Drosophila melanogaster: one gene and its partners. The protein of the gene in region 3 purifies or fractionates together with the protein of the main gene of each other region. This does not show direct contact. Each region holds a gene or a part of one and is shown on either strand. Other genes may lie near its edges.

Region 1 (6,596 bases), on a different chromosome or scaffold from region 3:
GAATCTGAGCGAAACCCCAAAACACACAAATTGAATAGGAATACGAAAACGAAAGTGAAAATGTTTATCGAAAAGGGAAACGGGGAAAAACAAAGCAGAAGATCAGCAAAGCATAGATCGTGCGCTGCCCCATCCCGCATTTCCTAGCACTCTGTCGTCCAGTCAGTCCAGTCAGTTCAATGCCGTAAATTAAGCTGGCAATTTCTTGCTTTGTTTGTCGGTGAAATCTGCCTAACAAAGAAAACTCCTGCCCCTGCCGTGAGTGCGTGGAAAGCGGTTGGACCGTGTTGAGGATGGTTGGGATTGCCACCTCCATTGCCGAGTGGGGCAGCGGGTCAGGGAAAACGAGCTTGACCTTAGGCCCCTGCCGAACGAAACCAATCGCGATTCCAAACTAACTGAACCTCACCTTGTTTTTTCGCGGCGGCTTCTTGACTTCAACTTGCACGGCTGTTTGCATCTTCCTGCCCCAGAACTGGGTTCTCAACTGGGCAAAGTTTTTGGCCGAGATCCGTATCTTATCCAACTCGGTCCAAAATATAGCTATATTTGCCTTGCTTTGCATGTTTACTTGCTTTGACACTGACAATGATACGCCATCCAAGATGCGGAGATACTCAGCGAAAGAGTGGAAGAGCAAGGTGGCGGGGAATCTTATCACAGCTGATGTGATAATTACCCAGAGCAAATACTGAGATACATGGTATTGTACTATATATATGGAACTCCTCGTTTAAGGTGTATTTATCGTTTAGATTTCTTGTTCACATATAATTTAAAAAGAATGTTCATCGATCGCTTTCAGCTCATTTTATATAAACGAGAACCTAATATGTCCCGATATGGTTACCTTTAATTGCTAATTGCTTGGCTTATGTGCCGGACATCCCATCCACATCCGATCCACGAACAAATGCGTTATCAGCTGTCAGATGGGCACTTTCACTCGGAAAAAAAAAGGCGAAAACAAAGGAATTATGCTTTTCCAGTTGATTAGTCGGGTCAGCGGCGGCTAATTCATGTCCGCATAAATTTCAATTCAAATCTCTGACAAACTCTGGAAAGTTTCGGAGCGTAGGTGGCCCGCAAATGGATCGCATTACATGCAGATACTTTGGTATCTATTGCCATTAGGAATGATGAAGTAAGTCAAACAAGACGGCCAGCTGGAGTGGAGTAGAGTGAATTGCATTGGATTGGATTGGATTGGATTGGAGAGCAGCGGTCTCCGAATCCGAATCCAAGTCCAAGTGGATTAAATCGAGCTGGAGTGGGGACTTCACATGCAAATCAGGCTGAGACAGGAAATTATTACACACTTTTCCCAGTCTAGTTTTGGTCATGTGCTGGTGGTGCCTGGTTTCGGTTGCTTTCGCAGCGATTCATTAGCATTGCACGGCTTCCGTATATGGGCTCCGAAAATGTATAAAGTGTTCGTGTGCGGCCAGGCCTATGCCCAATTGCTATAGGGTTATATGGCTATATGGGTCAGAGCTTCCCGTGTCTAGGTAGTGATATCAATCCGTTATCGGGAATCAACTTTCTGTGATGCGGTCACCACAATCGAGGAGACGGGTGGCCGGAGACCTTGGCGGTCTGTCTGGATTTGTCTAGGGTTCGGATTACGGACTATGCCATATTATTATTTCATACACTATAAATACACTATAATGCAATAGATATATTTTTTTTTTTGTAGCAGACTTTGGCATAGCCCAAGAAATACTAGCAGGCCTTGCAGCCTCAAGCTGAAAGTGCCACATATAAATAGCAGGTAATTGGAGGTGAGCAAGTGTGAAGCCACCGGTTGAGATAATTTAACTATCCATCCAATGACTTGGCCCACATTCCAGCTCCAGTGCTCGTGAGAATCGAGTCCGTCTGCTGAATGCCCCCGTATCGCCTCGAACTACTCCGTGGGCTAGGCCAATGTCAGTCTGGCCTAGCTAGCCTAGAGCCTAGAATCCGCCAGCGGCTTGCGTCATAAATAAGGCGGCCACAGGCCAGACGAACCAGTTCGCGAGCGGGTTTGGCGGCAGTTGCAGTTGCAGATGCAGAAGCAAACAGTTGGCCGAGATGCAGATGCTGATGCAGATGCAGATTATGCAACCTGCGCATTTCGTGGAGAAAGCTCAATGGAATTCTAGCGCAGATTGCGGTAGTTGACGTCACAACGGAACTTGCCGTTAATTATTGGTCATTCGTTGGGGATAATCCCTCCAATCGCGAATTATGATAGCCCCCATTCCCTGCCCCTTCCCGTTGCCCAACTCCCTCTAGGCGTCAGTGTGTCGCCAGGAAGTAAACTCAGCGCAGCCCGAAGTGGAGCTACAAGTCATTGAAAACCCACACAAGTAGAGCGTAGGACAGACAAGTGGTATTATGACATTTCCCAACCAGCATAGAGGTGTTGTGTCAGTTGAGTTGGTGTAAAATATGCGATAAATGCCATTGCTATGCTGTGCAGTATTTGTTCTTTTTCCTTTCCAAAGCCATACATACATTTCGATGGACTTCAGTCAGCTGGGTTGCTATAAAGCTATTGCAGTTGCAGTCTTCTAATTTCATGCCGAATCCAAGCCAGGAGCTGCTTCATTCATCGCAACCAATAAGTGCTGGTCGAGAGTGCGAGAATGGGATAGCATGGGATGGGTCTTGAGAGGATCCAGCAGAGGCTCGACCGTTCAGATTGCCCAACTCTTACCCCCCATCGGCATTTCTACACTCGCACACAAGAAGGCAACCGAAAATTATTACTAATTAATTATTGTTGCACAAACAGCAGACGCCTGGCTGCAGTGCACCTCGAGTACTTTCGGTACCTCCAATACCGATCCCATCCCGCCATATAATTTGCCGAATTGGACGTCGGCCACTTGTTTGTTTTTCGTTTGATTTTTGTTTTATGTTTGTTATGCGGCGCGCGGCATTTCGTCAGCTCATTCAATTGAAGCTCATTCAGCCGCACTTAAATCAGGGGCGAAGTGAGCGGGGGAATTGGTGGATTGCGGGATGGCGGCCAATGGGCACTTAATTTCGCTGGAGCGCATTTCACTTTCATTTCCACACAATCAAAATACGTCGAGTACCCGGGCATCGGACATCGGGCATCCGAGCATCGGGGATCGGGGATCGGCGATCGGAGAAGGGGGACTGGGAAAAGTGAGGCGCAAAAATTTCAATTTCATTTTATTTATGAGCGTCTAGGCGACACTTTTGAATGCAAATGACGTTAAATTGTTGGTCAAGTGAGAGCGGACTCTCGCTGCCTATTCCCCCTTTTCCCTGCCCCTCATCTACTTCGCCCCCCCCCCTCGATACGAGGCTCACAGACAGCAGGTGGAAAACCTTAGAGGTGCAGCAGGGAACTGCGTGACGAAACCAAAGCAGTTAAGAGGGACTTACCCTTCAGCCAATAACTTTTCTTCGAAATTGCAAAAGGGGTTGCGAAGTAAAAGCACAGAAGCTAGACAGACTTCCTAACCAAACAAAATAGTTTATGAATATAACAATAGATGTATTAAATGTACAAAGTATTCGAGGCGACAGTGTAGCAAATAGTTTTCACACCATTTTACTGGGTTGCACAAAAAGCGATTCAATTTAACGAAACAACCGAACCGAATTCGTGTAAAGGTCCACTCTTTGGCAGGTTTAAGTGGATCGACCCAGAGACCCACTAACGCCCCCAAAAGCCCAGAGAATCCCTTGGCACTCACCGTGTTGATCTTATCCATGAGGACACTCATTTGATTCATGCTCGACATAATGATACTGCTCTGTAGCACTGGAATTCGAATTCAAAAACTATAACTATAGCGTTGCAAGTCTCTTCTGCCGCGGACTGGGATGCAGCACCAATTCGCACATCACGCACTGCTCATTGCCAATTCACTTGATGCAAAAAAAAATTAATCCGAAGAAAAAAAAAATTTTAAATTGACATACAAAGTGTATTCAAACAGTGTTCGTTCGCTTTGCGAAAAGCACACGCGCGCGCGTATTTCCAATTTCCGATTTAATCAGTTCGACTTCTATATAGCCTATAGCCTTAGGTTTTGCTTTCCATAGCCGGTCTCTGTCTGCCGGATGACTTGACCCGCTCGCGTGCGTTCTTATCGACGGCTGGCAGCGCATTGAACGCTCGCCGCTCAAGACGTGCCCACGGCAGCGGCGACTTGGCCAAAAGCAACACGACGAGCACGAGCACGTCGCCGCGGCAAGCCGAAGAAGTTGGCCAAGACAGAGTGGCAGCGACAGGTGCCAGCAGAGAGCCCGAGAGCCGGAGCGGGCTCCAACGCGAACGCGAAACCGGTCGACGGCAGAAAGCGGGCTCTGAGCCTATTCTGTGCCTAATGCCGCAGACCCCACTGTGTCCCAGTCTCAGTCGCACTCCCGCCCGCACACCGCTCGCCTTGGCTCGCGGATTGGGGCCGCCTTGGTGGATAGTGGGTGGTGGAAGGTGCTGCATTTCCATGTGCGTGCGGGGTGCATTCCTGGGGTATTTATGAAATCACAAGGGCTGAGACACTTGAAGAGATATCGAGGTAATTATGGGTGTGAAACGAAGAGCTTACTGCTACGAGCATTTAGAAGACCAAGCGGAGCCTAAGGTCCACGATACTGGAATACCACCTGCGATTCATTCCCAAATGCAATCCAACCAGTGATAGTTTAACTTCGAAAGGAGACAACTAGCCGACCAATGTAAAGGAGTTGGAAGCATGAAACCAAGCCAAGAAACAATTGGACAGCCGAACTGTCTATCGAACAACTTAATTAGCTCTGGCAAATCAGCCGCACACAACAGACAATTGTTAGTCCGCTCGATAAGTTGTTCGGCAACATGCACATAGCCATGTTCACCGGTAACTTTGGCAATTGTGGGCTCAAAGCCGCCAGAGTCGAAGTCAAAGTCAAAAACAATTTAAGGTCGTCACAAGTAAAGTTTGTTATTCCCTCTCTTTTGTTTCGATTTTGCAAGTGTCATGCAAAAAATAAAATATCATGGCAATACCGCCGTGTAAAAACACCGCCTCTGCCCCTCTATCTCCACTTCCCGATTTTCAGCAACGATTCTCATCATCTCTTTTTTTTATGTAACGGTCCTTATTAGAGCCAATGTTGTTGTCTTATACCGACGATCATTGGCCAAATACCGAATGCTGACGGTCATTCAATTTGGAGTCGACGGCATGAGGTGGCCATCCGTTCTTTAGCTGTTTTGGCTGGATATTCGCGCCTTTTTTTTTTAGCTTTTTGATACCCTTAACAGTTGAAGAGGCAAATGCTATTATTATTTTAAAACCAATTTGATGGTGTAACCATCTTCTACCACGTCTAAATTTTGATCGTTGAAAATAGAAGAGCGACTATTCAATGATGTATCATACTTATATTTATGGGCTGTAAAGCGCACTCATTTTCCGATTTTCTAGACCTATCGAACATTTACCAACTGCCTCCTCGGCAGCGAACCGTCTTCAATGACTTCTTACTCACCTGTTGTTGCTAATTGGCTTCGTTGTTGGGATTAGTCTTTGGCTGCAAGTGGAAAAGAGGAGAACGGCGAGAAGCAAATTAGTAGGAATCCGTCATAGTCATAGGTAGTCGGAGTGGTAGTCTCCCTATTGATTAATGCAATCCTCACAGCCCGAGCCAAATCGAATCGACTCTCCCATTTCCCATCTCCCATTTGCTACTCGAAGGGCTTTTTATGGGTGTTGTGCCAACTCATCCGAAAGCCACCACGCTTCGATCGCAATTACTTGGCCATTATGTGATGCAGCCAGACATAATTTCCCATTAGCAGCTTTTTGTCGATGGGCCAAGAAAACGTGAGCATGAGGCAGTTCGTAATCACTCAAAGAACCCACTTCATTTCCCTGGCTAATCTGATTTGGTTCGCCCCTATCTCCAGGCACAACCTCTGCCCAGCCCCTTTTCCATTTCCAGCTAATCGCAGATGCTCCTACTTCATCAAGTCTGCCTCCGCCCGAAATCTTGTAAAATCATATCCATATCATTTTTGAGCTTGAGCTGACGAAATCCTAAAGTACAGAGAAGGTGTTTAAAAACATTGGTTGAAAGTGAAATTTTGCCCACGGCCGCGTCGTCTTCAATTTGTTTATTTTCGGCTGTTTAAATGAGTTTTCAATTTCACTAGAAAGCATGAAAGTACGGCCTTTTAATATTCTTGCCGGGCAGAAATCACAGCGAAATGGAGAAATACACAAACAATTTATCCGCCTGTTGGCACCTGACATGAATGAGTCAAACACAAGTGTTTGCTCGCCCCGTCCTTTTCCTTCGGACTCTCTCTCTCTCTCTTGCGCACGCCCACTAAATCACAAGTGTGAGTGACGAGTGGAAAGGGTGGAAAGGGTAGGGTTAGGGGTGCAGGTGAAGGGCGCGATAACTGATGTGATGCGGCTAATCTGCTTGCCAGTTTCCTGAGCCTTCTAGGGGAAAATCAAAAGACTTAAGCAACGAACTTGGGGAACAACGCTAAGGAAACAACAAAGCTGAGTAAAATAAATCTCTCGATGAAAGTGTATTATAATAATCACTGACAGCTGCCTCTCCCAGCGGCGGAT
Region 2 (9,741 bases), about 15 Mb from region 3:
AAGCACCTTTATGGGTGCCGCGACATTGGCGATAAAATATCTTTGTTAATAAAACAAATTAGAGTGGAGAAGAACAACAAAAGGCGGCAAGTCACACATGGGTGGAAAGCCCAAATTGCTTTCGGATTCGCAGCCAAGCCTTCTTGTGGAATATTCCAGGATTATTGCCAATCAATTGGTTGAGAAGCAGTTGATTTGGTAGTTTTATTTTCAATATACCGTCATTGTCGAAAAATAGACATTTATTAACAATGTTATGTATAGCGCGGATTAAAATAGGATTTTAAGGTAAACAAGTTCAAAAAAGTTTCGCTTAAAAACAAATTAAATACAAAAGGAATTTTGCTTTGATATAAATCTCGCCTCTGCTCTACTGAGTGCCTCGAAAACGAAGTGCACAGCAAAATGATTGGAACATGCCACAGTAAAATAGGAATACAGTATGTAAAGACCACAAGATACAGATAAATCTTAAAGTTGCTTTCAGTTTCATTTTTAAGTATTTAGACTTACAACGACATAATTTCAGAAGTAAAAGCGTATCAAAAATATCTATATATTTAGTTTTTTCGTATAGGTAGCGAAGTTGGAGTTTTCATCGATATGCATTGCTAATTTCTTGACATGAATTTAGTTTCAACTAGAAGTTTTTTTATAGTATATTCGACTTGTAAAATTGGTACTTTAATATTGGGACAGTCATAGCAGTAAAATAAAATGTACAGCTGAAATTAAAAGGCCTGCCAATCATTTTAATTAAATAAAAGTGATCTTGTATGTGTTATTTGCATATTATAAATTCTAAACAAAATGTTATTTATTAAACAATCAATTAAATAAATACTCCAATCAATTCAAACGGAAAACTCAATCCTATAAACCAAGGACTCCGTTACAGCAATTAATAATTTCGGAAAATCCACCTGTGACTCTAGTTCCAGTTAATTAGTACTTTGCGGCTCTTGATACAGTCCTTCCTGCTGGGCATCCAATTCGTCAAATCTCTTGGACACGCCAATTGAGTTGATATGCAAGCAAGGCGACGCACACGGACTCACGGCTAATGAGCCCAGGCCCTTATATCGCTACAGATATCTATTTATATATGTACAGAGGGGAATTGCTCGTTCCATTACTTCTACGCGGAGCCTAGAACCTCGTTGAGGATCATTTCGCGGGTCATTAGTTGTCCGTTGGTGACACGCGTCCGCGATCGACTCCGGCTGAGCTGTGCCCTCCGCTCCGCTCCCGCCGGTCGTTGTCGCCGGGCCTGTCGATTTCGTTGGCCAAAGGCTGAGCCCGTTTGCAGCGCCTCCAACAGACTGTCCATCACGCCTTCCTGCGTCTGCGGGGCATCCATGTCAACCACTGCCTTCTTACGCTGTTGGCGCTCCTGTTGCTCTCGAGCAGACTGCTCTCGGGCCTCCTGCAGACGACGCTTCTTCTCCAGCTCCTCGCGTACCCGGACATTGTCGTTGTGGGCCGCTTGGAAGGCATCCTTGAAAGTCTTGATGTCCGCAAAGAACTCCTCCATTGTGTATTTGCTGGGATCGAAGGCATAGTACTCGCTGAGGTCCTTGTACAGCTTCTCCATTTGCAGCTGCATTTTGCCTGAAATTAAAACGAGATGTTAGAGAATTCGATTTTGCTCATGTAATATTCGTTCCGATCAGATGAGATAATCTTACCCAGCACGTCCACTTGTTGTCTGCACTCCTCGGCAAACTTGCCCATCACCTCGCTAAACTTGTCATCATCACACTGCGGCACCTTGTTGTTCTGGAGATCAGTTTCCAGGTTCTTAACCGCCGAATTCATTTGCCGCATGGCCTTTTGGATGGCATCCATGTTGACCCGCGACGCTTTATTAACATGCGACAGATCGTCGTAGAAGTTTAGTGCATCTGGGAATTTCTTTTCCACCAGGTCAGCCAGGTAGTGCAGCAATGTCTGCTTATTATCCGCATCCTTCGTATTGGACAGTTTGGTTAAATAACTGATCTCAAAGCCAAAGGCGGCCTCGTTTTTGGAGCCCGAGTTCATGTAATTTCCAAGCAGCAGAATCAGCTCCAAGATCTTTGAGAACTTTTTGCTATTCCGGATCTCTTCGCATGCTGCCGTTCCTGCCACAATGTCGGGTTTGATATCCTGCACCATGTCCGCGTAGGTCAGCTTGAAGTTCAGGTTGTGAAGTCGCGGCGAAAGGCGTTTAATTTCCCCTGAAATTAAGTAAAGTTATTCTGCGCCTTCTGCACTACAAACTCCATTCGCCTTACCTATTGTGGCTGCAAACTGTTCAATCGGCGGTAGCGGTTCGCCCTTTGCCTTGATCTCCTGCAAACGCTTGAGGTGCTCTGGCGGCGGAAGGTACTGGATAAGTTGCTGCAGGATATTGGAGGACAGGATGTCGGTGTCGCAGCGCAGCAAGCAGATCTTGATCTGTTCGTAGGACAGATGCTTCAGCGATCCTCCCAACATAATAGCCAAGTTCTGAGCAGTCTTCGAGTCGAGCACACGAAGATCGACATTTTTCTTTGTCAGCGTCGTTGGCTTGTCCACCGCATCCTTCTGTTCTTTCTTTACAGGTTTAGAAGAGAATTTCACGGCCAGTTCTGCGAGGAAGTCATCCTGGGCCAGCTTATCCTCCTGGCACTTGACCCAGAATGCCTTGTCGGACATTTTGGCCGGGACAATGGCTTTCCAGTTGGCCCGCTTCATGGGATTCTTGACGTCCCACTTCTTCTTCGGTTTTAAGCCATGAGGCAGAACGGGAACCATGGGCCCCATCATCATGGGCGGTGGTGGAGGTCCCCCTCCTGGGCGCATCATGCCAGGCATGGGTGGAGGCGGTGGGCCTCCCATTCCGGGCGGTGGAGGAGGTGGTGGCGGTCCACCTGCCCTTCCCGGCATGGGAGGTGGTGGTGGAGGCGGAGGTCCACCACCTGCTCGTCCCGGCATAGGTGGCGGCGGTGGGGGAGGTGCTCCTCCTCCTCCTGGTGGTGGCGGTGGCATGGGTATGTTTACCTTGGGTAGCTTATTGGGCGACGGAGCCGCCACACCATTAGCCTCCATCAACTTGACTTTCTCCTCCAGATGAGCCGCCTTCGCTTCCGCCTCTTGCTTGGCACTCTCCAGCTGCTCGATCTTCTTCTCGTACTCCTCCGACCGCTTCGACTCCTTGGCCTTGGCCTTCTCCACAATGTCGTCCAGCAGTAGCGAGGTGTCTATATTAAAGTTCCGGTTCTCGAAATTCGGATCACAGTAACCCTTGTGGAAGACGATTTGTGAGATGCACTCCTCAATCAGCTGATAATAGGCAGGTCGGAAGTAGAAGTCATCCCTGATGTACAGCAAATGCTGCAGGATGGACAGGAAGTAGGGCTCGGAAGTGGTGTCAGTCACCAGGTTCTTCAGCACATCGAAGCAATCGGTGGCGTCGTCCATGTTGAAGGTGACATTATCGAAGCGCTGCACAAACTCCTCGAAGTCATCCTCGCGGATCTCGTTGAAGATCTTGAAGTGCTGCTGCAGGTTCTCATTATTGCTGGCCTCCACGATTTTGGTGAACTCATCTAGGCGATCGTATAGACCCATGCGCATAATCTCACATCGCAAGTGCAGGCGGAAGTTCAAATCCGTGGGGGTATTGGTGAGAGTATTAATAAAAATCAGGCTGTGGCATGCCAAGTCCCGTTTGGGATCCTGCTGATCCGATGCAAACAAGGCATCCACTATGGGTCGAAAGCGCTCGCTCGCTTTAAAGGATGTGGCTGCAATAGTGGTTATGGCTCGGAGAACCTTCTCGTAGCCATTCCGCTCATAGACAATGCAGAACGAGGCCAGCAGCTTGAGGGCTTCACACATCGTCTGCGGCTTCCGGGGATCCAGGGATTGCGCCAGCAGCAGCACCACACTATGCTGATCCGGATTGAGCACCACGTTCAGACCCCATGTGTTGTTCATGATCGCCTTCAGGCACCGAATCGCCTCGAACTCGATCTTCTCGTAGCTGGCATTATTCTTTGACCGGGCCAGCAGCTTCTCAATCGTCCCGATGCCCGCCACTCCAAACTCCTTGATCCACGAGATCGGATTGCTGGTGAGCGCCACGCGCAGAGATTCCACACATTGGTACACCTTGTGCGTGCTGTGCTCCCCATTCTGCAGGTATTCCACATAGTCTATGGGCTTCTCGAAGCGGGAGTTGGCGCTACGCTCCAGTGAGTTTTTACCTGGAAGAGAAATTGGAGTTGGAGTCGGATGAGCGCACGTATTGAATTTCTGTAAAGCTATTTAGTGGTCAGCGGTATTTTACATAGTAGACATAGGAATATGGTTCTATAAACACCTATTAATATCTAATCCGATCAGTTCGTAACTTAAGCAATTGATAATTATGGCTAATATTGGACATTTTGATTTGTTACACTTTTGACATAAATTAAAAGTTGGCACAATAGTAAATTAAAGTACATTTTGCCATTCAACTCACGTTTGTGCTGTTTCGATGATAAAAAGTATACGGGTTCATTCCAAAATAGCTCAAGGCTTATATTTTGAAAGAAAGAGGTTTGCCTCCCACCGACAACACACCTGAATTTAGTCATATCAGCGATGATTCACTCTACCCTATCATTAGTCTGCTAAATCGGAATACTTTCCCACAAACGTACAATGGCAATTTGATAAGAAAACCATTTAATTAACGAGAAATTACCACTTAAGCTCTAATCTGGAATATAATCGTTAACAAGTTATGTTAAACAAAGGTGTAACATTATACACATATCAACACATTATAATACGCAAATGTGTTTTTAAGTTTATTTGCCATCACTCCAGATTTTCCAACTTGAAGTTTGTAAATTTCATGATAAAGGATGATACATATTCTATATAGGTGGCTCAATGATTACACTTTGGAGGTTCTAAATAGTTGCTGCACAGCTTTATGTGATAACTTTGCCCTAAAACTGTGAGAGATAGGGGTAGTTAAAAGGCTATCATCATGTCCCACCTTTGGAAGGGAGGCCTTCGGTGCGACCACCCACCCCTTTTTCTGATTGACCTGCACCACTGACATCACTCAAATTGGCCAAAACCTGCCCACCACTTATACGTTTATCCGTCAAAGCAAAACTACGCTAACTGTTTTATTAATTAACTCAAAACGGCAAGCGAAGCGTGTTAATGAACAGCTTTTTGTGCGAGCCTTTTTTGTTGTCGGCCAGTCCATTGTTTGTGTTTTAAATTTAATTTCGCAACAAGTGGGTTCTGCCACAATAAACACGACCCACAAATACTTACTTCAGTCGCTTTTACCTCTCACTCGCAGCTATCTGCACCTATGAGATACGATTGTGCCGCAGCTCAAGTTTACTGACAGGCATCACAATTTATTTTCAGCTCGATTTTGTCATAATGTGTTTAATGTTTTCGCATATTTGCATTTTATGGCCGTTCCAAAGTGTAAGGAAAATCACCCTCTGCCTCTGCTACACTGAGAACTAAGCCTCGTCGGTACAGGAAATTTGAATTAAAATTTGAAATATTAAATTTATATTCAATAACAAGGCCATTGAGATTTATAAATAGTAGGTTATAATCATTAGCTATATTTATATATGATGTTTAGTAAAAATACTTTCAGTGTACATAGTACATCTCTCTCTCGCCTTCACGATGCACTTGCTTATACAACAAAAAGACCTAAGCGCGAAATAAAAGAATCATTTCATTTTCTCACTGCCACTTGACGTAATTTAAATTGTATAATGTGCACGGTGGTGGAAATTCAATGTCTTTGCATTTTCATTTTTTGCCGCTCGACTTTGTCACGCATTCGCCGCGTACCACTTACATACATACTATGTATAATATAGCACTTGGTATTACTTGATAAAATGGGCAAGCAGATAGTCCGCGGCTGTGGCGCAATTAGGCGTTACAAACGATAAGGGAACTTTGATTCCACACTCCGCAAGACTGATAATGGACCATGGCCATGGTGAACTAACTGGAGCGAGACCCAAAGAACGAAGCTGAAGCTGAAAGCTGAGCTGGCATTGAAATGTGCTCAAGATACAGCTGGCGATGTGCTACAGTGATAATTGGTAGTATCACTGTAGTACAGTAGAGTACACCGTACTAATCTCGCTGGATATGAATGAAGCAAACACAAGGGAAGATTCCAGCTGAATCATTACCGCGCTGCGATGCACATAATATCGTTATAATAATTCTAGAAATAAAGTATTCTCAAAATTGAAGTAGAGTTAAGCAAGTATATGTAGTTAACAAACAAAGTAATCACCTCTTGACTAATTGAAGTGGAAACCATTTAGAGACTTATGTATGTTATGAGCTTACTTATCCAAAGGATCGTTGACATCACTTCAATCGGTTTAGGAATTGGCCAGAAATATAGAACAGAACCTGGCCACAGAGCAAATTGGCAGCTAAGAAGGCGCTAAGCAATCAGAAAGCGAAATTTGCAGTGTCACGCACACAGCGAAACGGGGAAAGCACACGGACACGAGTTCCGTTACCTGCTTATCTTATCACAAGTGGAATGCAATATTCCGCAGCACAACAAAAGCAAAAAAAAAAAGTAGAAGGCAGAGTCACCCAGTTGCACGAAAATCGATGGTCTGCTGTTTGTATACCCTTGCAAAGGGAAAGGGTGTTAAAGTTTTGCCAATCCGGTTGGCCTTTCAAAGTTGCTTGGAACATTACGGTTCAGACGAGTTTAGATTATTCGTATATGTATGTAGATTATTCTTAGACTTTCTATTCCAGAACTATAGTTCTTAGCCAAACGATACTCAATCTTCAAACACAAATGCGGTTTTCTGTTTGAAAACGTGTACTTGCACCATGTTCTTTACCTTTCAAGTGCCACATAATCATCTTCTGTCGCTCCTCCTTCGATTTGGCCAACAGGGGCTCCCTCTTGTCCTTCGGAATGTTCATGTCCTCGATGATCTCCAGAAACTTCGCATCCAGCTCCGCAACGCTTAGCTGCTGGATGTACTGCTCAAAGTCCTCCACGCCCGGCACCACATAGTTGTCCGCGGACACGGGTCGTCCGCCATGGGCCAGGGTGCCACTGCTGATGGTTCCTCCCTTGGACTTCGAGGGTCTTCCGAACAGACTGTCCAGGAGCCCGCCGCCCGTGGATTTCGTTTTCTCGTGACGAGACATTCTGCAAAGAACAGAACAGAAATATTGGGTTCGATTTCATAAACTATGCAAAAGATTTCAAGTCTAACCCCAGCTTTTTGAGGCGCATTTCGTTGGATAGCTAGGCGAAAACTAAACAAAGACCAAACAACGATTTTTGGGGCCTGCGCAGTCTTCAATATTTTGGGGGAGACAACTTGCACAGCTGTTCCTTGTTTACAAGTGTTCGAGAGCAGCGCACAGACCGCGGTTTCTGATGGCTTCCCAGCGAATGCATCCAATCGATGGACGGATGGCTGGGAGGTGGTCGATCATTATCAGCTTGGGTTTATTTACAATTATCTGGGGTGCCGTAATGTCGATTCAGCCTCAACGGAGTGTGGAATTTTCAATTAACACGTACATATGTACGTATTTTGAGGGAACGAGGCCCATTACAGTGGTTCTTCGACTTGGAAAGGGTGCTGTTTTCCTTTTACATGCTTAAGAACATTAACACATGAGAGTTGGCTTTCATTTAAAATTTTTTAAGGGTGGAAATCTAATAGGAATTATAATTTTAATACTGTGTGAATATTACTGGTAAGCTCAAAAATGATCAATTTATAATTAGGTTTGTACAATAAGTTTATATTACAGATTAAAACACTCTCAAGCTTAACCATTTTCCAAATTAGAATCCGACCACTGTGCTATCCAAAACTCTCACCGCGTGAAAACGACTGATTATAATTATAAACAAAAACGATAAAAGTATACCGCAGCAAATTGGACAAATTCATTAATAATGCGCACTAAATTTACAAAACGATGCGATAATCGCGGCCAGCCAAAATAGGAAATAGCACGTTATTCACAGCGCAAAACTGAGAGCCAAACAAAACACGAGAGAAATTGGTTAGAATATGTGGAGAATATGGAGTGATTCATTTGACCAGGCTGAGAGGCTGGCCGTTAGCGTTTGAACATTTGAATTGCCTTGTATTGAAGGATGCGTTGGGAACAAGCTTTGGCTTTTTGCGTTAGCTTGTCCAACGCATCTAATGAATCACTAATGAAATCGGAATCGCAGCAGCTGAGCAGCAGAGGTAGAAAACAGAAAATCCAATAAAAAGGCAAACGAGCAACAGGTTTTGCGGATGGTTCTGGCTCGCTACACGGAAAACAAAGTACTTAAACTGTAAGATTTGATTAGGAAATGAAATAAACGTTCGTTATTAGTGCTCTTAAATTGAGTAAAATTTACATTTTAAGCTAAGAGAGCTATAAAGTGCTGCGTTTCAATATTTGGCATGCAAGGATAAATTTAATAGATATATAGATATAGATATATATGTGCCCTGGTATTTTCTGCAGTGTGGCGAACGGGCGTGCCAACTGGCGGCAAATCATTCACAGTGCTCGGCTAGAGAAATCAAATTTAATATATGACTCCGCAAAAGGCCAATTGTGAATGGAGTGTTGTGTGTGTGTGTGTGTGTGGGCAGAGGAGTGTGCGAGGGAGGGGGCGAGGAGGTGGGTAGTGGAGAGTGGAGCGACAAGTTCAAGCAGGGCAACAATTTCTTTTCAGGTCGCCAGTACACATAAGCATCTGCGGAGGAAATGCTTTCAACAAGATTTCTTTTGCCAAAGAATTTACTGCAATTGCCTCTTTCTCTATTTTGTTTACATGCACTGCATCTCTTTCCCTCCCCTCCACAACATCACAACACAACCCTCCGCGACCAACACTCCTTCCACAGAACGATCTACATATGTCTTTCTCGCTCCCGCTCTGGCATTAGTTGTGTGCTGCAACTGCGAAAATGTAAACAAGTATAAAACCGTCTAATAACCGCTGGAATTCCAAGAAACGAAACGAGAATTGGTAAGAATGCGCTCACCTTCGTTTTGATATCTGTGTCGCCTGCTCACTTTTGATTTTTTTCGGTGGTTTACGTCATAAGACCAGAAAAATAATGGCTTGCCACTCTCACACAAATAGAGCCACACTCGCACACGCACACAAACTCGCGATCAAACGGCTTTTGTTGTGGTTGTTGTTTTTGGACTATGTCTTTTTGTTTGTTTTATTGCGCGACGCTCTGTACAAAAAACAAGCTGACAAGCTGTGCACACCGTTCCCTCCGAACACTTTTTCTTGCAGTGTGGTACTCCTTACTTATTTAGTTGTTGCTCTTGCTTTCCACTTTCGGCCACTTGTTGCTCCTTTGCCGGGAATGACACATGGAACACACTCCGCTAGCGGGCTTTTGTGCAACGCAAACACTGTTCTGCCTAGTTATTGGACACTTGGCATGCAGATCGCTGGCTCTTCACGGCCGTTAATTGCGAAAAAACAAATTCTAAGCACAAGCGGTTCGATTTACTCAGCGCGTTGAGTTGATCGAAATTAGTGTGACCGCAGCGGGATCGCTCAATCAAACCGCTTCATTTTCAAGGGTTATGGAAATATACTTTTGGGATTTAGCCTGTATTCGAACCAAACAATAAGCAGCAAGCCGGTGTTTTTCACTTATTTTTAAAACTTTGTTTATGATTTTCATTTTATTTTGCTTC
Region 3 (6,785 bases):
TGGTAAGGAAAGTTTGGAGTTAGTGCCCGCTGATTGTGGATAGTTGTTTTGTAGTAATAAGGTGGACTAGTGGTCATGTTGGTCTTTAGTTAACCATATGCATTAGAAATCAAATGAACTCAGACATACTGTCATCAAATCTTTAGTAAACCCATTGTATGAATCAGAAACCAGTACCTAATAAATTCAACTATATTGAAAACTTTAATCAAGTAGATTGAGAGAGAATTTCATCATATTGCGTTGATCCCACTTGCAAAATCATCATTTTGAAAAAGGCTCAACAATTCAAAGGACCATAAGAGAGCAAAAAAACGAACATTTTGAACGGTGGTATGAAATATTGGTTGTGTTGGGTTCAATTAATGGGTAGTCGCCTGCAGGGGAGGTTGCATGTTTTCGGGGCAAAAAGACATGCGAGACATGTGTGTAAAGTAAAACCTTCTGTTGAAATATCGCACTAATCAGCTGCAGACGACCCACGCAAACAAAGGCAAACCCACCACCACCACCACCACTACAAGCACCACCACCGCGAGCAAACCACCACCCATTTGAAAACAGTAGGCACCATCGACGACGACTGCCAACTCATTAGCAAATGTGGTCCACTCGATACCGGGGTGGAAACAGAGGGGTGTGGCACAAGGAGGCTGTAGAGTTGGCTAAGGGATATGATACTGTGGGTCTCGGGATGCGTGCCCGGCTTGATTTTTTGGATTTTAAAAACAAGTTTTGCACACTTGAGCGACTTGTCCGTTCAGAGAAAGAGAGAGAACAAAAGAGATGGAGACAAAGAGGGAGAGAGAGAGTAGCACCAATGTCAATAGCCTTGGTCAAATGCATAACAAGTTGGCAGCCCCATCCCCCAGGTAACAGCTGCTTTTGCCGGGGGGTGAGTGGGGAAATTAATTTGAAAATCTCGCACAACCGATAGTTACTCATTTGCGGCTGCCGAACGGTGACACATCCGAATGCCACTCGAATTGGGCATCGAGAAGTTTCCATTGAGCGCAACTCGCGTCGCGTGAGAGAAAGAAATGCGAAGAGGAGAGCAGAGCAGAAGAGCAGTAAAGTCGCGAAAAGCCGGTTTTGCGTAGACAGCTATGCCAAAAACGTTAATAACTAAGCGGAGCTCATTATGCGGCGATAGCGAAAATTCCACAAGTGCCAAAAATCTCCTAAATTGGTAGTTTTTCAATGAATGAACATGCCACACGATGGCACTCAGATTCTGTCACCCAAAGTCGGTTTTCTCAATGCAAAGCCATGTATATAAATGTGTTTATCATAAACTTTTATTAGCAGCCCAAAAACACAACTCTCTCACAAGGTCCAGCTCAGCTGATCAATCGGAAAAGGAAAAAGCTAAGTATTCACAATGATTCATCCGAATCAAGATCAAAACTGGGTAACTTGGGTAATGCGAAGTTGGGAAAAACAACAAAGGCACCTGCGAAGGCAGCGAGAGATAATAAAACGAAAGTGATGCGCGTGCAGAAATGGCAGGTAGATAAAAGAATGAGTGTGATGGTGAGGTGACGTAGGCAGCGGATCGAATTTGGCCAAAATCGGTTCCTAATCTAATAAGCGGCGAGATGAACTTCATTCGACGGACAAAGCACTAGGGAGTGGCTGCCCGAATCGAGTGGAATCTCGCTGGGAGAGCGAGCAGGATAAGAGCACATGGATTCGTATTTGTATTCGGATTCGGAGTCGACAGGAAGTTGCACACGCACACAGACAGCCACACTCACAAAAGGGCGAAAACGTGGCGCGCATACGAGAAATACTCAGAGCATTCGCATTCGAAGGTAGCAGATTCAGATTCAGAATCGAAATCAGTAAAAGAAGCCGAAGCGGAGTCAACTCCACTCAATTCGATTCACTCTGCGCTGGTGACGCGGCATCGCATGCTCAAGATATTTTCTGTACTTCTGTTCGTTTCATTTTGGTTCTGTTCTGTTTGGTTCTGTATTTCGCTCCGATAAAGAGCATTTATTTTGGCCGTCGCCGCAGAGGAAACGGTCCGTCTGTATTGAGTGCGATAAAGGCGAGCGATAGCGAAGGGGTGGGGCTGATGCCAGGCGCCTGTGGGCTGCATTATCAGGAACCAGTGTTGCACAGCACCGCAGACATTCGAACCGGCTGCGCTGATATCAGATTTCCCGGTCCCGGCCCCGCCCCCGCTCTCCACACCACACACTCATCGCCGCATGCAAGTGCATTGGTGATTACCGCGAAGCGAAGCTGCACCTCCTTAGTCACCGATAAACAGAAATCCATCCGTATCGGCTAGGTCGCCCAATTGGTCTCCCTGCTGGGTTGTATGATCACGCACACTCCCTCAAAAGCGTAGGCGGGAGAGGAGGGGGTAGCGGGCCTGCGCAGGAGTGGCGCTGCAGGGGGTGAAACTGACAAGGGCGAGGGCGAAGGGGTGGGAGTTGCTCTTTATCAAATGAAAGTTATCATGGCGGCCGCGAGAGGAAGACAGCGCGAGAGTCACACCCTTGAACTTGCGAAAATTCATTGTCAACTATCCGTTTTTCCGTCCGAATTCCATTCTATGGGTTTTCCCAACCGCTTTCCGTCCATTAGTCCATTCCGTTCGACGTACTCACCTCAAAGCCACTGGACTGCGCCCAAATGTTGCCGTCGTGGCCGGCGATGCACGCCTTGGTCACGCACTGCGAGGCCAGGAGTTGGTTGTCCACATAATCTTGCCAGCTCATGGTGCTTTGTTTGTCGTGGGTGCGGATTAAGTTGAACTGATATATATGGATCTGGATATGGATCGCTGTTGCTTTACCGCACGGCGAGTCGCACTTTCGTTTCGGGGGTCACACGAAATTGGCAGGGAGACAAAGAAAAACCGCAACACCGACGATTTTTTCTTGGGGTAACTTACTTTCAACTGCAACGAGAGGTGGAGAAAGAGAGAGAGAGAGAGAGATGGATTAACATTTATCAAATCGTATCGTATTTTATCATGCGGCAGTGGGTGTTGCATCCGCCCTTGACAAATTACCGGGTATCGGCGGAATTGTGTTATGCACATTTATGTATATACATATAAGTATATATATCTAGTGATTTTGATTGTGATGCATTGCACAAAGCGCCTAATTTTCCGCCTCCGAAAAACTCACATATATACACACACACGCACGGGGGATGAGACCAAGAGCAAGAGCAAGACCAAGGAGACCAAGACAGACAGAAACAGAAACCGTACGCCGCAGCTCCACACACACGTCCGACTCGCTGGGAATTTTCGAAGCGTTCGAGGCGGATTTCAAAAGTCGAATGAGCGCAAAGCAGAACCATAAACCGATTTTGAATTCGAGAAAACCCACTCGAGAGAGTGAGAGATGGAGAGAGAGTGGCGAAAGAGTGCGCGCTGCAGGGGGCTGCTTGCCTTGCCTCTGCTCCAAAGCGCTCAATTCCAAGCCGTGAGTCACCCGTTCACTCACCCACTGCCACTGCTTTCGAGTGGGGCAGAGAGTGAGCGAGCGAGAGCCGTAGCCAGGGCGAGTGCAACGGTGCGCCTGGAGTGGGTGTGTGAGCGAGACGGTCGTACGAGGCGGGCCGTTATTAATCAGCCGGCTGCGGACAATGCAAATGAGCGAGTGAGAGCAGACGATGACTCAACGGCGGCTCTCCGAGTGAGTGTTATGAATCGTCACTTTGTTGGCCGGCACTGAGTAACTGTCATAAATTAAAAATAGCCTTTAATTTCAACGCCTATATGTTCGAATCCCATCTCACATATCATAATGTGCTGCGCTGCACCGCACCCGCAATATGTTAGCATTGGCTGCTTGACAAATCGAATGGAATACCGAGTACCGAATGCCGTATGCCGAATACCGACCGGCTGCTGCTGAACTTTTCCCACTTAATTTTTTGCACACTTATACACACAGGCATACACACACACACACCCGCAGACGGCGACGCACAGCCAACGCGGTTGGCCAAGTAGCGCGTACATGTGTGGGTTTTCGCCATTTAAGGCGTGCACCCAGCACGAAAGTCGCTTTGTACGCAATTTACCCAAAGTGTTGGTCGGTTTTCGATTTTTGTCGAACCACCCCACGTTCAGTAAGTCTAGAGAAATCTCTTTCTAAACGGATTTCCAGGAAACCCACGGCACTCACACTGTTCACACGCTGCGGTAAAAATTCAGAGTGACCGTCGACAAGCGGTAGTACTGGAACACAAGTCGCTGTTCGCTCGAAACAATCGATGTGTGCCAAAATTCGATCACGATATTCCTCGCAATCGATTGTATTCGCTATTTGCCTTCGTAAGTCCCGGTTAGACCAGCGGCATGAAAAGTTTAAATTCACTTCCACATTCGAGTACTATGAGATAAGATTACTGTACTTAAACTCAAAAAGATTCAAAACAACACTGATCGTTAAGCTACTAAGACAAATAGCTGGCCGGTTCCAGTCCCACGATTTAAAAACAGTTCACTGAATAGCAGCATATGTAAAATTCCATACTTTCATATATTTGTATAATATGATTCACATAAGGTTGTTGTTCAAATGGTTGAATACTACAATTAAGTCTTTACAACAAGAGAATGTAATCTGTTGGAAAACAATATTACAATCAAATTTATTAAACAAATATAAGATTCGGGTTTAAATATTTATACTGGTGGAAAACTTTGATGGGCGTAATATCGATAGCAAATAAAATAGCGAAGTCAGGCACCCCAGCTCTGGGTCTGCAGCCCTGAACTTCAAGTGGCACCTCCAAAATAACGTAAAAAAGTGCAAAATAATACAAATTGAATTCAAAATATTTGCATTATTTTATGCTTTGTTTTTCTTTACCATACACACTGCGAAGCCGCAGCGAAATTGCCGGATATCCGCTAACATCTGGCGATAGTTGGCGATCGATCTATCGATAGTCGCTAATGTTTTCTTACATCACTAAAACTTTTGCAAGATGGAGCCTCTTTTGCTTGGTTTTAACAAATCAGTAGCAGCACGTGTATAAAAAGTGCCAAATAATTTTCAGAAAATGTTAGTATATACCCTAGATTAAGCGTTTGAAATGTAAAAAGCCGCAAGGCGATCTTGTGCCGCATCGATTCCGCAACTGCTTAGCATAATTTCCGCGTGTTTTAATGCAAAAAACGCGATTTTAAATTTCTGACGGTCAAAATGAGTGGAAAAAAATTACACGCCCGTATGACAGTGCAGGGAGTGGGAGTGAGAGGCAGCCACCATGCGAGCGAGAGAGAGCGAGCGCAGTGGTTGCTCCAAGAGAGTTTTGTTGCTGGACTCGGTCTTTGCACCCCTCCCCCTTCGCCTTGGCGAAACCTAGAACTCCGAACTGGGGACTTTTGTTGAAGTCCGGTGACGTCGGTGTCGCCACTTGACTGGATTTTATGCACTCTCGTCCGTCCGTTCGCTTGACTCATGACTGGACAATGACGCAGACCGCTGATTCTATCTTTAGTGGACGACGGCATTCGTGGGCTGATTTAGCCTTGCTCCAACTCAATTTTCGATTTGCTTTGGAATATTTGCCTGTCAGTCGGTTTTTTTTTTCTATCCCCACCCCGCCGTACTGTCAAAACTACTGCTATTTTCGATCAACTACTACCATTCGCAACTGGTGTTAGGCAACACTGGCGCCACTGTTACGTGCTAATATCGCTCGGCTGCTCTCGCCCGTTGACATTGACACGAACGACACTAGGGTCGTCCCGCTCGCACACGCTCAGGGGCGGACTCTCGCCGCTTGTCGCTCAAAAAGGCTGCCTAGCTATCGCTTTCGGTCTCATACGTAAAGTCACCGCTTCGCAGAGCGCATCGCAGCACAAACGTAACGGACTAAAAGCAAAGCGCTCGATAGCTCGAGAAAACAACACAGTCGGCGTTCGGCCCGAATTCTCCGTTATTCGTTCTAGACAAATAGGCAAACAGTTGATTGAGTGAACCGGGCCCAAGCCGTCGAAATTCAGGATATAAGTTTACCTAGTCAATTCTTTATTGTTGATAATGTGAGTGGTTGCCAAGCGGCGCTCGCGGTTTTCGATTCTCCCTCCACCAGCCTTACTTACTTTTCGCTTTTCTGCCATTCGCCATAACCAACAATTGTGGCTGGAAAATTTTTTACCCCCGTCCCGCTACTGCTTTTGTTGTTGTTTCCACTGTTCCGCCCCACTAACGCATTCTCGCTTTCTTGCAGGGATGACCGAAATGAGATACCTCAGGATGGCCCCGCCAGCATGGAACCCGAGGGCGTCATCGAGTCCACCTGGCACGAGGTGTACGACAACTTCGATGACATGAACTTGCGCGAGGAGTTGCTGCGCGGCATCTACGGTTATGGTTTCGAGAAGCCGTCGGCCATCCAGCAGCGCGCCATCATTCCCTGTGTGAGGGGTCGCGATGTCATTGCCCAGGCCCAGTCGGGTGAGTAAATGGCTCCGAGTCCCCCATCATCATCTTCACCATCATCCCCCTCGATCAGTCACAAAGAAAAACTTTCGAGAATGTGCAAAATCGGCGAAAAAACAGCACGATGACTCAGCCGCTGCGCCTGTATTTCTTTGTTGAAATTCCGCTTTGCAGCACTCTCTTTCTTCTCCTTATACTCTCTCTCTTCCGTCCGCTCTCTTCGATTGTCGGCGTCGTTGCGCTTGCGCGCCACTTTTCGCTGACCAGCTGCGTTTCGGTTTCTCGGCCGCCAGGCCAGAAGAAAGTTCCCAGAAAGAAGGTCGCTCTTCGAGCGCTCTTGGCGAATTCCAGCTG
Region 4 (9,053 bases), 4.8 Mb from region 3:
CTGGACGTGGACATCCTGATCACGGGGCACACGTACAAGTTCGAGGCCTACGAGCACGGCAACAAATTCTACATCAATCCGGGATCGGCCACGGGTGCCTTCAACCCACTGGACACCAATGTGGTGCCTTCGTTCGTGCTGATGGACATTCAGAGCACCACGGTGGTCACGTACGTGTACCAACTGATCGGCGACGAGGTCAAAGTGGAGCGCATCGAGTACAAGAAGATCTAGGGTCCTAGTATTAGCCACCAGCCATTCCCCTCCAATCCAACCCTTGACCCCTGCATTCTGAGCTCGGCTTCATTAAAGAAATTGTAAATGTACGTAGCAATAAATCAAGTTCTCATTTTTTTATCTGATAAAAAATGCTAGCACCTTGTTTAAATAGAGAATAAAAGTACGAACGGACGAAAGTGAAGTTTTAGATTTAATGCAATAATAAACGATTACAAAGTAAGGAAAAACACCCCCAGAAATTGTGATACTCCCACAATAATCTGATAAAAAAGTTTAAATTTTATTAAATAGAATATAAAAAGGAGTTACATCTGATGATCGAGTAAAGAGTCTGCTCAAAAGTTCGGATTTCATGCTCAGTTTCTCATTGCAACACACTCTCGATATAAATACATTGGGTTCGGTTTGTGGCCATCGCTTTTCCATCGAAATAAATTATATAAATACTTTCCACGAGCCAGGACAGCAATGTTTGGCAACATCATCAATACGAAATGTTTGATCTAAAAATCTTTGAATTACGAAAACTTTGCACTTAGATTAAATACAATTATGATTGCTGCTGACGACAGTTGGAAAAGCAACGAACAGGATCCCCGAGGAGGAGAACCGCCTTAGCCGAGGCTGTCCACGCACACAGTCTTCAGGGTCTTGCCGGCAATCGTGGTCTTATACTGCTCCGGTAAAGCCAACTCGGTCTGGAAATCACAAAAAAAATAAATAAATGACTGAAGACAAGAGACAAATTTTTGAACTCACATAATCGCCGCTGTCGTCGGGCAACAGGATGTTCATCTCCGAGGACTTGGAGTTGACGATCTCCACGCCCAGCGAGTCCTTGGACAGATACATCTGGCAGCCGTCGGTCTTGTCGATCGATACCGTCGGCACCGAGCCGAGCACCTGCATCTGCACGCTCTGGCAGTTGACGAACTCCACGGAGGCCACCACGGAATCGAACAGCAGGGAGCACTTCTTGCAGGAGTCGAAGACGATGTTGTTCACCTTGCCCTTGACGGTCAGAGTGGATCCCTCACACTTGAACACATACACCACGTTGTTCATCTCGGCGTTCTCCACCAACAGCCCGGTGTTGTTCTTCTGGTACTCGATGATCCACTTCTTTCCGTCGCGCTCGAAAACGGGCGCCTTGGCTTGCGCAGCTGATGGAGCAGCAACGGCCTTGCTGCCGCCCGACTGGGCTGGCGATTTGAACGGAGCCGGTCCAGTGCGTAGAGATGGATTTTTATGGGTCTGCATGTCGCCAGTGACCTTCTTCAAGCCTGCGGGTTTATCAAAAGATACATTTTCTTACTATAGGAGCACTTAACCATTTTTGCAGTTGCTGCTCACCCTTGGTGATGTCGGCACCCTGGTTGATCTGGGCGAAGAGGGCGCTGCGATCATCTCCGGCGCTATCCAGCTTGAGGGCACTCAGATCCAGCATGGGCGGCGGTGGGGGCAGACCACCGGGTGGCGGTGGTGGCGGGGCACCTCCGGCGGGGGCCGCTCCCTTGCCGGACCACACCAAGCCCGTGGTGTGGTACTGCCGGATGTAGGCCTGCAGTTCGGTGAGCGTCTGCACCCAGGCGCGGGCCCACTCCACATGCGTAACATCCTTCTCCTTCCACTCCTTGAGCACGCGGTTCGTGTAGAACTGGCCGGCGTCGTTCATCTCCTTGACATAGGGACCCGGGGTCTTCTCCACGCACACCCAGCCCAAGGCGGGAATGCTTTCGCTGATGGCCGACAGGTGGTTGAAGAAGGGCGAGGAGCGGTGCTTCTCGCGGAAGTCCTGGATGGCGCTGATCTGCGTCGAGGTCGGCTTCAGAAGCTCCGCCTGCTTGGGCTGCGCCGGCTGGGCGATCTGGGTGGCCAGCGTCACGTACTGCAGTTGGGAGCTGTTGCGGAATTGAACGATGGCATTATTACACTTTTACCATAGATGACTCATCCAGACTGACTCACCCAAAGGCGCTCTTCACGAGCTCCGCATGCTGCGCCACATCGCCGCCAATTTTGGCGGAGAGAGTTAGGTATTGGCTCAGCGGACCCGCCACAATGTCCTCGAATCCGGCGACACTCATGTTGCTGCTGGGCGGCGAGGGAGGTGGAGGTGGTGTCTCTGCTTTTTCAAAAACTGGAAGAGCTTCTTCTTCTTCGGCTGGCGGAGGCGGGAGTGTGGGCGTGGGCAGTTCTATCGGCTGTGGCGCTGTTAGAGTCCGTTCCAATCGGTCGACGAGGGTCTCCAGTCGCTCGCAAATGCTCTCCAAGTGGTCGACGGCGGCCGAGGGCTTGGCTTCCGGCTCGTTATCTGAACCAAAATGACGCGGAGGAGAACGGCAAATGTTTAGTTCGTTTTGGCAATTATCTCGAATTATTCAAATAACACTGAGTTTTATAAAGAAAATAACTTGAGTGAGATGATGCTTCAGCGTGATAAACCCCAGTGAATCGTGCACTCACAATACCTGACAAAAAAGGCGATATAAACTAAGGCGTCTCGAGAGGAATACCTCATCACGAGCTTGTGTATGATGATGAACTGGTGCGCTTAATACTTATAAAGTTCAATATGCAAAAAGAGCTAATCCCAACGAGTGAAAGTAATAATCCACATGCAAAAACGGCACAAGACAACGAAAAATCATAAGAGAGAAGAACTAAGTTGAACCTTTAAACGGAAGCACTTGACTTGCGAACTTATTGGCCATCAGGAAGTTACGTGAATCGCTAGACTCTCAAAACTTCTTCACAGCGAAAACGAACACATAAAGAACACAGAAAGTCAAGCATCCGCTTAAATAACTGCTGAGATCGAAAAAAAAAAGCAAAAGAATCGGACTCTATCGAAGCTCGCATACCCCGCACGGCCACGCTATGCTCCACAGCCGCATGGGCGGCCCGCAGGAGCTCCGTGTAGAGACGCTGGCGCTTCAGCTCCAGCTCGTCGCGTCCCACCGGCGTGACCGGGGGCTCGATGCAGCCGCTGGACATGGAACGAGGACAGAGGAGACGATGTACTGGCAATTCAAAGCGGGGCTGGGAATGCAGGGGTCGACCTGTTCTGGTTTCAGCTTAACTATATGGATATTTTGGGCGTGAAACCAAAACAGGATCTTGGGTAAGCATACATGTCGTTCAGGCGCTCGTCGTCGAACCACGAGGGTAATCCGTGGGCAAAGAAGAGTGTTTCCGAGACGACATCCCCCTCGATGTAGGGTGCACACATGCTCTCCCGCTTGGGTGGCGGCAGTGAGTCGGAGAACACCTCGTCGTCGTCCAGCAAGGAGCCCTGATTCTGGCTGGCCAGCAGGAGCAGTGGCAGTGGATCCGGCTCGATGATCTCCGCCCGGTTGCTGATATTCACCTTCTTCTTGATCGACTGATGCGTTGAGTTGTGCCTGGACAGGCAGCTCTTGGTGGGCGGCGGCTGAGGAGGCGGTGTGGTCGGCGTGACCGTCGCCACCACCACCACTTCGTCCGCCTCCTCCGCGTCGCCGCTGGTCATCGAAGCAGGTGGTGCCGTGGATGTGGAAGAGTGCGTTGAGCGGGCCAGTGGCTCCGGTTCTTTGGGTGCTAGTGCTGGATTTGCTGGTGATGATTTGCTAGCCGCTTCAGCCTGAGTTGGTTGGGCTGTGGAAGTGTTGCTTAAGATTACTCTACATGAAGCGACGAATTACCAAGACGATCATCAAGGAAAGCGCCGATACTTAAGTTGATTACTTCACTTCACTCTCTGCTCACCTCGCTTCCTGTCTTCATTATGTTTATTTATCGCATTTAAAAGCATTTACCATGGTCACTGGCAGATTGAGTAGTTAGTTTTTACTGCTCACCTTATTATTATAGAATCTATAGAATCTTGAATTTTCTGTCTAAATTATTGACCTTCATTTTAGTTTCTATATTCGTCACTACTATATACTATACGTTCACTTTGATGGATGAGCACGATCTAAGTGCTCAACAAAAAGTGTGTATGCAATGTCATTAGCTATTCCTCATTAATCAACTGAGAATCGGCGCAATTCCTTGATATTCATATGTATAAAATTCACAGAAATAAACCGAAGAGAAAGCACAGTGAAGACAACTCATAAGTAAATAGAAAAGGACACTCAAGGCAGCTTGAAGTGCCCGGATTGAAATGAAAGGAAAGATCAGAAGTGGTGGTCAGCTGCAGTGGCATTGCAGTGAGTGAGAGCCGGCCGGATAGGGGCCTTCGTTCCGGAGAGCAGACAAAAGCCGAGACAGCTGTTGAGCTCGAAGGCCGGAGAACGCGAATAGATGGGGTGGTGGGTAAATACTTAGCGTTGCGTCAGTACCAGTGTTTGGCTGGGTGCTTGTGGGCACATCCTCGGGATTATGCGCTTCCAAGAGCTCCTTTTCTGGTTTCACAGGCTCTGGCTCCTCCTTCGGAGTTCCTGGCTTGCCGTTCAGCTGGGGTTCCTCCTTTTCGGTGACCTGTCCGCCGTTCTCCTCCTCTGCGTTCCGCTTTTCCTTCTCCTTCTTGCCCGCCTTGGGGTTCGATCGGCAGCAGGAGAACATTTTGCAGGCGTGTGGCTGGGCTTTTCCGGTGCTCAACACTCTAGGTACGAATCAAGCACATTATGTAAGTTCCGTGGCTCGACTGCGGATGCCCGTGAAGCTCAAGCGGCGGTCACAACACTGACGGCACACCAAACCAAATCGAATCAGTAGAAGCAGTAACAGCAGCAGCCATATAAGACACTCAACGGGTTTCCAACGAACGTGGCCACTCCTTGCTCACTGTGTACATATATTCAGTGTATGGCCCAAATTTAGTGGCACATTAATAAGGTCCTCCGAGTTGTCCGCGCCTTCAACTGGGTCAAGTGACTGCCGACCAAGCACAGAACCAAATGGCACACAAATGCGATTACACACGGAGAACAGAACACACCCTAAACGAAGCGCACGCCCACGCACTCGGGGATTCGATTCGATTTCGAACTCGAACTCGAAGGTCTCAACAGGACTCTGTTAGGAGAGCTCCGCGCTGTTAACTGCTGAGTTTCGCCGCCTTGTTGGGCTACTCCGCGCTGCTTTTGACCATTTGGGGCCAGCCACCGACTGGCAATGAAATGTGTTTCATTAATAACCGCTTTTGGCCTGACATGCAGGATTTTGTGCAAGCTCCGGCGATGTCTTGCACTTTTGCAGCAGAGAAAGCTTACGGTCCAGGCGGAAAATGGAAAACTCTCCGAGAGAGTTGCGCAGACACCACTGTGATTTCGTGATACCCTTCTCGCCACGGGTGGCGCGACTTAAGTGAGGGAAAACCACGGCGATCCCATAGTTTTATCAGCCCTGTAAGGCAGGGTTCGCCTATCAATTAGTTGTGACAACACCGAGTTATCTTTACTATTTGGAAAGTTTCCAGGAATGATCGGTAATGAAACTATGATTCCATTTTGAGCATTACCATAACGTTTGTAAGCCATAGAGAGTAGAGAGATGCAATGATCATATCTTAGCCGGCTATAAAAACAGTTTTAAAATGTTCAGCTTTTTGTGAAGTAATCTGCCGCAGAAGAGTATAAAAACGTCGACGTAACTGAAACTCCCATATCGTTTGCTTGCCAGTTTTTGTTTTGGCCTTAGTGCAATGGGTTTATTGCACCGGCAACGTTGTTTTTGTTTTTAAGTAGCTTTAAACAAATGGCTGGCAATTAGAGTGGGAAATGCATCAGTAGCCGTTGGATTGGAGGGAGGGGCTAAGCCGCCGAGGACAAGTAAGCCGAGATTCAACTTTCGCCTGGCGATACTAGTTCTCCTTGCAGTCTTGATGCGTTTTCTGCGGCAGATGCGTTTGTTGCGTGCAGAAAGCAAAGAAGAAATGGGGAAGAAAAACTAGAAACCAAGATTAAATGTCTGCAGCTGAGGAACCGTTATTCCCGCTGCGAGAGTGTGAGTGAGCTCGAATTACCAGGGGTGGGGGGTGTTCGTAATGGTAGAAGAAAAATCGCCCACCTTATAAGGCGAGGTGTTATTTTCTTCCACCGAAATCGAGTGAGTGGTAATATCTGCCGATTTTCAATCGCGATTCGCTGATAAAAGCGTTTTGGCCAACTTTTTGACTCATTCGCGCACGAATACAAGCAAACGTGTTTGCTCTTGCGTAAACTACATACATGCATACATACATATGCATATCAACTATGTGTCTGTGAGTCAGCGAAACAAAAACAAAAAATGGCCACAACAGCTGAGTAGTTACTTTTTTTTATCGGGGGTTAACAATCGCAATGGGAGCTGCTAAGGGTTAATTTGCATACACTTGCTGGCAATGAATTAGTTGTGTCTTTATGCCATGGAATCGGATATGAAATCATCGTTAAAAATACACCATGTAGATTTAATTTTACAAGCAACATGAATCACACAAAAATAGCCATCACACAGCTGTCTCTTGTCTTTTTGGCTCTCTTCGCTGTTGTTGTTGTTGTGTGTGTACAAACACCCACAGCCTGCATCACACACACACGCTCAAATTCGTGACAGCACCACCCACCCCTCACCAATAACCGTTAATTCCGCAGACACTTTCAGCCGGCGAACGGGAGAAGAGAATTTGCGAATAATAGCAAAGCCCCGTTTAAATGAACGTTTTTAGCAACAATCAGGCGTTACTCACCTTCTTTTGCTGCTGATGAATTTGCAAGGATCTGCAGTTGTATTCCAATTAGAACTGACGAGAAGCTGCGTAGCGAACACCGGCGAAATGGCGAAAATAATAACTTGGCGTGGCCTTTGGTGGGACCAGGCGTACATTCGTGGAAATAGTCAAGCGAGTTAACCCTTATGTGGGTGGCAGAATACTAAAAATATATGATACAACAAATTTTAGACTTAAGAAAACGGATGTTTAAATGTATAAAATATGATGGAAGTGCAATAGCCAAGCTTATAAACTAATTCTTAAATTATTTGCAATGCATTTAGGACTTTTCGATATACACGTAAATAAACTATATTTTGATTGAACACGGTACATTTCTACTAGAGTTCACCTTCAGATATTGACGCTATTTCTTGTCCTGTAAATTATTTTGTTAAATCGTTCACATTGTATGTCTAATAAAGATGTTTTCCAATAAAATGTTATTCCCTTTTCACTTAGTCTAACATATTCATTAAATAATCAATGTTTTATTTTTTATTTAGTTATTTTAATTAGTTCTTAATTATAAAACTGCTCTAGATTCTCGATATTTTGCGGAATCCGGCGCATGGTCACACTGACGAACACGTATTTTCATTATTCTTGCGAAGCGCATCGCTTAAAACTTGATTACGCTCGGATAACAAGATGCACCCGCGTCTCAAGTGACTGAACAGGTAGCGAAGTGACCCTGGATGAGCGTGGGTAGGCAGCCGGCACCTCTGGAAAGCCCTAATCCCAGGTCCGCCAGCCGTTTGCAGGTTATGTCCGCTTGTGTACACTGTGACGGGGAACCGAAGAAGCAACAGGAGCGGATTCCTGGCAGAAGAGACAACCGCTGTACGAGATACCGCCCCTGACCTGCGCAACATGATCGAGGTGCTGTGCCTGCTGCTGGGCAGGATCCTGCTGCTCCTGGTCGGCGGCTACGAACTGATGTGGCGGCTCCGAGAGCGACTGAATGCACTGGCCGTCCGGTCATATGACCTTTGGCGCAGCAAAGCGGCACGTGAGGCGCACGAGCGGCGCGTGCTCGCTGACTGCCGCTCCCAGTTGACGAAGACGCCGCAGCATCTGGTCCTGGTTATCTCCCCCGTAGATGCCGGCGTGGATGCGGTGCTCCTCAGCAGGATCTTCGACTTTGCCCTGGACGTGGGCATCAAACACGTCAGCCTGTACGACAGGCGGACGAAAGGCAGGGGATACGTGGACATGGCCGATCTCTGTCGATCCACCAACGCGGACACGGGCAGCTGCTTAAAGTGGCCACCCGTAGCCAGTCCCAGCAAACTGGAGAACCAGCCCAAAAACGGACAAAAGACAAATGGTTATGTGAACGGTTCACATTCCCCTCAACTGCAGGTGAGTGGCGGCGTCTGATAAGCCGTGATTAGTAATGGACTTTAGAACGATGTCGGAAAATGTCTTACAAGTATTACACTTTTTGTTTCAATTGTTAAATAAAAGAAGTAATGAGCTGGAGATTTAATTTAGTTCATCATTCACATGAGATACAAAAAATTCTTCGTGCTGAGAACCAGTTTTACCTTTGTATCCATTAAAACCTATGTATAGCAACGTAATCGATTCCCGGAACTAGTCGTTGCCTTATCAGTTTCTAATTGACTTTTCGGCTTCGGCGTCTTTCAGCTCCATCAAATCAGCGCCTCCGACGGCCATGCCCTGATCGCCGACGTCTGCCGCGAGTTGTACGAAGACAGTAAGACGGAGTTGGTGCAGAGCCTACTTAAGCAGAAGCGCGAAGCGCTGACGGAGCAGATCAGCGACATGCTGAGCAAGCGACTCGGGTTCGAGGCCCCGGAGCCGGAGCTGGGCATCGTGTTCGCCCGGCAGACGTGCACCTACGGCCTGCTTCCCTGGCACGCGCGCTTCACCGAGTTCCACACGCATCCCAGCGGACGCCACTTCGACGTGGAGACGTTCGCCAGCATCCTGTGCAAGTACTCGCGGTGCGAGCAGCGGTGGGGCACGTAGGCACATCGTTCGCGTGGGTAGCGACACCCTTATATTAACTAGTTACCTTAACATTATGTAAATTATCGCCAGGAATTCCTTTTAGTTCGTAAGAGTAAACTGCAAAAGTGTATTGTTCACATGAAAGTGT

Evidence for each region.
Region 1: the proteins of chic (region 3) and DAAM purify together in Drosophila melanogaster (affinity purification with western blotting, with the first as the bait; one study listed by BioGRID). This does not show direct contact.
Region 2: the proteins of chic (region 3) and dia purify together in Drosophila melanogaster (affinity purification with western blotting, with the first as the bait; one study listed by BioGRID). This does not show direct contact.
Region 4: the proteins of chic (region 3) and capt purify together in Drosophila melanogaster (affinity purification with western blotting; 2 studies listed by BioGRID, with this or other methods). This does not show direct contact.

Annotation. Positions count from the first base shown.
Region 1 is NC_004354.4:1,304,357-1,310,952, forward strand, and holds the start of DAAM (dishevelled associated activator of morphogenesis), read right to left. Parts: upstream 4,117-6,596; 5' UTR 3,768-4,116; coding exon 3,720-3,767; intron 490-3,719; exon of another isoform or gene 410-489; intron 5-409; exon of another isoform or gene 1-4.
Region 2 is NT_033779.5:20,757,988-20,767,728, reverse strand, and holds dia (diaphanous), read right to left. Parts: upstream 7,430-9,741; 5' UTR 7,292-7,429; coding exon 7,272-7,291; intron 7,205-7,271; coding exon 6,888-7,204; coding exon of another isoform or gene 6,832-6,887; exon of another isoform or gene 5,588-6,831; intron 4,233-5,587; coding exon 2,277-4,232; intron 2,220-2,276; coding exon 1,689-2,219; intron 1,612-1,688; coding exon 1,139-1,611; 3' UTR 777-1,138; downstream 1-776. UniProt on the Drosophila melanogaster protein: Required for cytokinesis in both mitosis and meiosis. Has a role in actin cytoskeleton organization and is essential for many, if not all, actin-mediated events involving membrane invagination.
Region 3 is NT_033779.5:5,976,791-5,983,575, forward strand, and holds the start of chic (chickadee), read right to left. Parts: upstream 4,229-6,785; 5' UTR 4,163-4,228; exon of another isoform or gene 4,057-4,162; intron 3,692-4,056; exon of another isoform or gene 3,419-3,691; intron 3,312-3,418; exon of another isoform or gene 3,150-3,311; intron 2,915-3,149; 5' UTR 2,733-2,914; coding exon 2,622-2,732; intron 1-2,621. Other genes in the region: eIF4A (eukaryotic translation initiation factor 4A), read left to right, coding at 5,044-5,045, 6,220-6,446. UniProt on the Drosophila melanogaster protein: Binds to actin and affects the structure of the cytoskeleton. At high concentrations, profilin prevents the polymerization of actin, whereas it enhances it at low concentrations. By binding to PIP2, it may inhibit the formation of IP3 and DG.
Region 4 is NT_033779.5:1,151,178-1,160,230, forward strand, and holds capt (capulet), read right to left. Parts: upstream 5,135-9,053; 5' UTR 4,792-5,134; coding exon 4,569-4,791; intron 3,877-4,568; coding exon 3,375-3,876; intron 3,230-3,374; coding exon 3,105-3,229; intron 2,555-3,104; coding exon 2,209-2,554; intron 2,142-2,208; coding exon 1,594-2,141; intron 1,524-1,593; coding exon 1,000-1,523; intron 939-999; coding exon 855-938; 3' UTR 501-854; downstream 1-500. Other genes in the region: Vps29 (vacuolar protein sorting 29), read left to right, coding at 1-234; Tango14 (transport and golgi organization 14), read left to right, coding at 7,799-8,290, 8,579-8,923.